Linked DNA regions of Arabidopsis thaliana. The protein of the gene in region 1 interacts with the protein of each later gene in a pairwise test. Each region holds a gene or a part of one and is shown on either strand. Other genes may lie near its edges.

What was found. Proteins that work in one complex are often made in the same cells at the same time.
Region 2: the proteins of AT5G66480 (region 1) and LPPepsilon1 interact in a two-hybrid assay, tested with the Arabidopsis thaliana proteins (one large-scale study listed by BioGRID).

Annotation. Positions count from the first base shown.
Region 1 is NC_003076.8:26,545,367-26,549,122, forward strand, and holds the start of AT5G66480 (bacteriophage N4 adsorption B protein), read right to left. Parts: upstream 1,635-3,756; 5' UTR 1,454-1,634; intron 1,115-1,453; 5' UTR 1,111-1,114; coding exon 369-1,110; intron 47-368; coding exon 1-46. Other genes in the region: AT5G66490 (uncharacterized protein), read right to left, coding at 2,057-2,386; AT5G66500 (Tetratricopeptide repeat (TPR)-like superfamily protein), read right to left, coding at 2,710-3,756.
Region 2 is NC_003074.8:18,922,106-18,925,861, reverse strand, and holds LPPepsilon1 (Phosphatidic acid phosphatase (PAP2) family protein), read left to right. Parts: upstream 1-2,089; 5' UTR 2,090-2,328; coding exon 2,329-2,640; intron 2,641-2,744; coding exon 2,745-2,970; intron 2,971-3,055; coding exon 3,056-3,129; intron 3,130-3,231; coding exon 3,232-3,459; 3' UTR 3,460-3,558; downstream 3,559-3,756. Other genes in the region: AT3G50925 (Defensin-like (DEFL) family protein), read left to right, coding at 2-204. UniProt on the Arabidopsis thaliana protein: Exhibits phosphatidate phosphatase (PAP) activity in vitro. May play a secondary role as PAP in plastids.

The DNA.
Region 1 (3,756 bases):
TCAATGTTGTTAGCTGAACTCTGCATTCCACTGTCAGTTGATAGTTCTGGAAGCCAAGAAACAGTAACTGAATAAATTAAAACCAGTTTCTTAGATATACCAGTGAATCATGCATGCAGATTTTCTATGTCTTTGGAAATCTGATTCATAACTATCACGAATTCAAGATGACTATAAACACAGGAATCCCAAGCCTAAAAGGCCACTTCACAACCAAAATCACATACTGATATATGCATATAACACTTAAAACTAAAGGAGAAGAGGCTCCAAGAACTGGCAAAAAGTGATGATGCTAGAAATGTCAGACATCATAAGAATTTTCTAGCTATCTCGTGGTTAAAAAAGTTAGTAGGAAGAAACAGTACCATCGCAAGCATCATAAAACTCTCCAACATGTGTAGCAAGACTGTGTGAGCTTTCAGCTCTCTCGAAATCTTCTACCTCTGTGTTACTTGTGAAGCTTACTAATTCACCTGGGTTATAGAAATTTTCAGGCTCAAGCTCCTTGTCTGCTTTTATTCTTACCGGCTCCAATAAGTAACTTTGCCATTCTAAATTACTGGTAGCATTATTACTTCCAATCCCACCATTGCTGATATCTCTTCCCGACTTCTCGTTCAAAAATGTCCCAAGAGGGGGACTGCAATCCCAAACAGGACGTTCATGGATGCCTTGGGTGTGAACACCATTGGTGTGATCCACCGCAATAGCCTCGGTGATAGGAAATGATAGGGATGTGGACTTGCTCAAGGAGGCAGTAGCCTCCACATCTACATTACCACTAATCTTTTCCTCACCAGAGGTTATCGGGTGAGAAGGCCCATCCACCTCAGAGTCCCTATTGAAAAGAACAGGCCCACGAGCTTTGTGATTGATGATATAGGGAGATGGAGGGTAGGAAGAAGGCGAATTGGGATGAGGGATTTCTTTAGTAGTGGCATATAGAGAAGGTGACATCTGAGGACGAGTGAATGTCTTTTCTTTAGGTTGCTTACTTTCATCATTCAAAATAGACGGCTTTGACTGCAGTGTGCTTGGAAATTTACTAGATAAGGACGTCCCTGAATTTAGTGATCTACCCAAAGCGGCAGCAGAAAATGTAGGCATGACTCTGCATCATTGAAGATTTCAATTAGAAATCCACCAATAGGGATACACAACAGCGAGAGAGCGTTGTTCAACTAATAAAGTAATGAACATCGAGAGAGTCGATAACGGATAAACAAAAATCCAAATCAATGTCAAGCAATTAATAACCTATACAAACAAGCTAACAATCTGAGAGTTCAATTTCGGGAAGGAGCAAACCATAGAGTGCGAGATTATCAAACTAATCATTCAACATCAAGTAGCCTAAACTAAATTTAACAGAGATTATCACGGAACCAAGACCTTAATCATCAAATCGAACAGTCAGCAGCTAGCAAAATCACTCGATAGAAATAGTTACCTCGCGACAGAGCATCAATCGGAGAAGACGAAACGAAAAGATCAACGCAGACGGAGGAAGAAGAGACGATCGATTGATGGTAGATTGATATGACATGGTGCGAAAAAAGAGCAAACAGAGATTAGATATATACTGAGGAGGAGAGAAAAAAGAGAAACCTCTTCTCCAAGGCTTTAGTCGCAACAAACTCTTAATTTAAACCTCTTCACCAAGGCTTTCATTCGCAACGACCGCGTATCACGCTGGGTTTTGGGGAATCACCGGAACGGCTGCGTTTTGATGGGGTTTTGTATGTTTAGTGACGTGGCATCTCCTGGTGTTTCGGGTAGGCTTTTGTAGTCATCAGGGGCCCCACTGTGTTTATTCGTAAATTTGTAAACCCAGTCTGATTACTGATAACAAGTAATAAACCGAGAATTTTTCTTACTATCAAACTGTAAACTTAAATTACATGGATTTGTCCACAAAGAAGCAGAATCATGGCTTATGGACGAGCTTTCTACTTTGATGTATGTATGTATTCATCCTTCTTATTCAAATAGAAAGGTATATCACAAATCGAAAATAAATATAAACAACCTCTGTGAAATCTCTTTCTCCGATCTATCTGTAATATATGGCAGGTCCATTTGAAGTGTTATCCCAAACACCTCCTTCCTTGACATACTCCAAGTACCTAGCGAATTCTGGTTTTGCAGTCGTCGTGCTCTTCTTCTTCTTCTTCCTCTTTAGACTCATTTCGAAGAAACTAAATAGAGGGTGAGCCGAACCCCTGGTTTTCTCCACCGGTTTATTCACCTTCGGGGATTGACCATGGGGATTTGTAGGAACGCTCTCCGGTTTCACTTCTAAAAGCCCTGCGCCTGCTTCTTCTTCGTCGCCGAGCTTCTTGTAGCTGCCTCGAACCTTCCTCGTGCTCAGCGCTCTAATCATTATTTCTTGTGGTTTTGATCAATTCTCTCTGGTGATATGTTTTTAAGAAAGGATAGATTTTGAAAAGGACACATCTTTTGACTTCTCTTCTCCTTATCCCAACGACTCCTTTAACTTAAACCTTATGTGACATTGCCCTTTCACCTACTACTATTCGTGGGTCAATGCTACTTTATTTTTGACTATGTCTTCTTTGGTGTTTGACTTAATTAGGACAACGAGACAGTTCCACAACAATGCTTTAGACTTTAGTGGACTTGCTCTGTTTCTTGACACAAAAACAGTAGCTCAAGTGTAGTGTAATGCTGAAAAAACAAAGCAATTCATATGAATAAGCTGTGTCCTGCTGTTTTAACCAAACCTTTATTCTTCAGTTTTCCTCTCAATTCTTCAACGACATCCCACTTCCCCATCGCTGCATAGAAATTCGAAACCAACACATAAATGCTCGCGTTCTCTGGACCCGTCTCTTCCATAAGCCTCCTTGCTACATATTCGCCTCGCGTAAGATCCATATTAAGACTACAAGCACTGAGTACCGCTACCCATATAGCACAAGGAATGCTTTGATTATCGTTCTCCATCATTCTCTCGACTAATCTCCATATCTCTTCTGTCTCACCAGCCTTGCTTAAGATATCGATGAAGCATACGTAATGCTCTGTTCCAGGAACCAACCGATACTTCTCCTTCATCATACCAAAACATTCCTTACCTTCTTTAACTAGTCCTGCGTGTGCACAAGCCGATATAACAACAAGAAATGTCACTGAATTCGGTAAAACTCCGCTTCCTTCTTCACACATTTCCCTGAAGATTTCAAGAGCTTTAACCCCATCCCCATTAACCGCATACGCATCTATCATACTCGTCCAAGAAACCACACTTTTAGATGGAATAGCTCTGAAAATAGTACGCGCTTGCACAATCTGACCGCATTTTCCATACATATCCATTAAGCCATTGCATAGCTTAGAATCTGAAACGAAACCATTACGTAAAGCGACACAGTGTATCTGTTTACCAATCCACAGATCAGAGTTATCAGAGCAGCCAGCAAGAGAGCTACTGAGCACTCTCACATTGGGTCTCTGCCTACTCATAAGCAGAAACGCTTCCTTGTAATTTCGGTTTCGAATGCAACCTGATATCAAAGAATTCAACATCACCTCGTCCGTATGAACATTCAAACTGTTATAAACCTTCATGGCTTCATTGATCAAACCTACACTCGAGTAAAAACTAATCATTGCAGTTCCTAAAACCACGAGATCGCGTCCGGTGACCACCACCATGGCATGAACTTGCTTCCCTTGCTGCAAAATCTTGAGAGAGGCACAAGTTTTAACAACAGAAGACAAAGTGAACTC
Region 2 (3,756 bases), on another chromosome or scaffold:
GATGTGGAAGCTCGCAACCGGATCTGTAGAACCTCGGAGAAATACTATCGCGAATTTTGCGGCCATGCAGGAAACGACGATTGCCTTTCAAAATCAACCAAAAAACCTAAACCATTTAAATGTGTTTGCCATGATAATAGGAGTCAGAATATAACTTCAATTAATGATCGATATAATAACTGCATATGTACCTTTTATTGCTAAGTCTTAATAAACAAAATAGTAACTACTAGATATTAATCCGCGGTTTACCACTGCGAGACGATATTTATTAAATAAGAATTTCAAATTTTAAGTTGTATTTTTTTTTATATTGTTTATTTTGTTTAGTTTTTTTTTTTTTTTTTTTTTTGGCAAAATTTTGTTTAGTGTTTAAGATTGTATATTTTTATTTGATTTTGTTAATTTCACCTATAGCACACAATCATGTATTAATATCAATACAAATCCATCAATTCTAAGATTTTATCCGTGGTATAAAGTTTAAATGTTTATAATGTATAAATTTCTTATAAATGTTGGACATTCAGTTGAGAAAGACATCATATTTACCAAATCTAAACAATCTGTAAAAAATGTTACTTCTTAAATGTCGGCATCATTCATACACTTCATCGCCCCTGAAAAAAGTTTCGACTTCTATATAGAGTGGAGATAAACTTCTACGCAAACTAGTAGCTCCTATAATTGGCGACTCCCCATTTAATAAGGTGCAAAAACATCGTAATCGGTTTTAAAATTGATAGCTTAATTCTTTCTATTTTCTGAAAAAAAAATCTTTAGGTCATCATCAATGTCTGCCAATACTGTACTTGGAAGATTGAGTTTGACAGTGTGATGAACGCATCTTGCTCTTGATTAAATATATTTTACTTCCAAAAACGACACACAGTTTTCATCTCCTATGATAAGCCATGCCATGGTATGCGTCAATCGTCACTCTGCCCATTGTATACTAAATTTCTTTCTTTCCATGTTCTAAAGTTTTTTTTTTTTTTTTTGTCGTTCTTTCTTTCTTTCCATGTCCTAAAGTATTTTTTATTTTTTGGAATTACGAGAAAGAACCAAAAAAAACTTGGCTAATGCAAATCTTTGATGTGACCACGGTAGTTTCCATACCTTGCGACCGTATATCTGTATTTATCGCCACAATCGAGGATAAATATGAATATTTTACACATAACTCTAATAGATCTCCCAAATTGTATATAAAAAAAGAAAACTCCGATAGATCTAGTTTAGCTTAAAAAATTGATATGATTCTTTACACAAAACGGTAACAAAGAATTTAGACCTCCATATTTAATTTATATATGTATGCCCACATAAAGCAACATTGTTCTAAAACGCTGAAAGTGAAACATTTAAATATTCTTCCGAATAAATCGACGTGTACACGACATTGTCACCGTTGATCTATTATTGAAGCAATATTTAATTCCTCCGTAAAACATTATAACTCATCCGTAAAGACCGTGAAACATTATAACTTAGCGGTAATATGTAAATTTGTTGTGAAATAATAACATGAAAAGAAACCGAAAAGTTCCTCTTGATAACTTTTTTTTCTTTTTAATAATGTAGATTAATATAATTTTCGTTAATTATGTTTTAATGAAAAAGATTAATTAAACAAACTAATCAAATGTGTTAATTGTAATATACACAATGATACAAAAAATATGAAATAAGTTTTTAAAAATATGTGATATTCCAACAATATTCCAACTTTTCTATAACATCAGGTAAATATTTCTTCACCTTTTCATGTCAACATTTTACAAGAGAAGCATAAAACAAAACAAAAAATCCTCTCGGCAACCATATGCCTTTTAAACTAATGAGGATTTGTACTTTTTTTTTTTTTTTTTTTTTTGGGCACAAACTAATGAGGATTTGTACAAAAGCTAAATGAAAAGAGCTACAAAACTAAGCCCATAGACATATATCTCATGAAGCCACTCCAGATCACCTGATGCTACATCAAACTAAGAATGGTTTTAATTAATATATGGGCCTCAGCTGAGGAAACAAAAGCCCATTAATTTGCTTCAATATTGGTTTACCCGTTTATTCTACATGCCACGTGGAAGAATATGAGTGGTCACGATATTATAAAATGCGTCAAGGTAAACAACAAATAACAAACTCGTTTTCGAGCAAAAAAACTTTGAAGATTGATTTGAAGAAGAAAGCTCTCTCTCAGGTTCTTGTTCTCAACCAGACATTGATTTCTTCGATTTGCATATTTCCCTTCTTCGTCTTACGAATTTTACTTCCTTTAGCGATGGATTTGATACTACGTTGACTTTTATCTTCCTTTTGGAAATGGCAGCGTCGTCTTCTCTTCTTCTTCTTCTTCACTGTCCCACCTGCAATTTCTACTTTGACTCTTCCTCGTACCTTAAAAGATCGAGACTTTCGAGCTATAGTTCGATTATCTCTCGTGGGTCTCCTTTGTTTGTCTCTAGCTTTGGATCTATGACCGTTAAAAGATTCTCTAGCAGAGTCGGAAGCAGGAGCAATGACGGTAACGAACAATTTGGAGCGTTGGAGCAAGAATCTTTCATCAACAACTCATCGGAGATACGGAAAGACTTGGTCACCGGCGGTGGGATTGAAGCCATTGTTAATCGTCTGGTTAGTTAATGGAAATCTCATTCATGCACGCAATGTGTTCGATGAAATGTTTCTTCAGTATCAATGTGTGTTTCTTTCTGACCGGTTTTAATTAATGATGACAGAGCAAATGGGTTGTGTCTGTTCTATTTGGTTCAATCATTCTTTTGCGACATGATGGTGCAGCCTTGTGGGCAGTCATTGGATCGATTTCGAATTCTGCTCTCTCTGTAGTTCTTAAACGTATACTTAACCAAGAGAGGCCTACTACAACATTGCGATCTGATCCCGGGATGCCATCTTCTCATGCTCAATCCATTTCTTTCATATCTGTCTTTGCTGTTTTATCCGGTAAGCAGCTTAAGCTGTTCACTACTCATCGTTCGCTATCGTGGAACTGTTTACAACGGATTCACTCGAGTCGTGTTTTCTGCAGTTATGGAATGGCTTGGAACCAACGGTGTGTCTTTGTTTCTTAGCGGCTTAATCCTCGCATTGGGTTCATACTTTGTAAGTCTGTTATAACAAGTTTCACCTAATTGATTCAAGCTTTTCATTCATATATGAAATCATTTAGTTGCCATTGATCTCACACTCTCTGCACTATCACAGATACGGTTAAGGGTTTCTCAAAAACTGCACACAAGCAGTCAAGTGGTGGTGGGTGCCATTGTTGGTTCTCTTTTCTGCATCTTATGGTACACAATGTGGAATTCGCTTCTTCGTGAAGCCTTCGAGGCATCTCTATTAGTGCAAATATCTGTATTTCTGTTTGCAGCTACATTTGCGCTAGCTTTCGCAGCGTACGTTGTACTTAACTGGTTCAAAGACGAGAGATAAGCAATACCAAGCTTTACTTATAAAGCTTAAAATTGTTATCCCTCAAATTCTTTTCAAAATATCGAAATGAAGGATTCAGAGCCCGTTTGTTAAAATCAAGATTTTAAAAAATAAGGTTTCTTTAAGATGTAAGCAAGGCAAGCACCTTACACTAGAGCTAACATTGAATGTTAATAAGAACCAAACCGAACCAAATATTAGTGACTGTGGCTGCCACTCATCAGTATGCCACCGCAAGAAAAATGTGTTTGCAGCTACTCGGAGCTATACATCCTCTTGAGAACAGTTAAAACAATA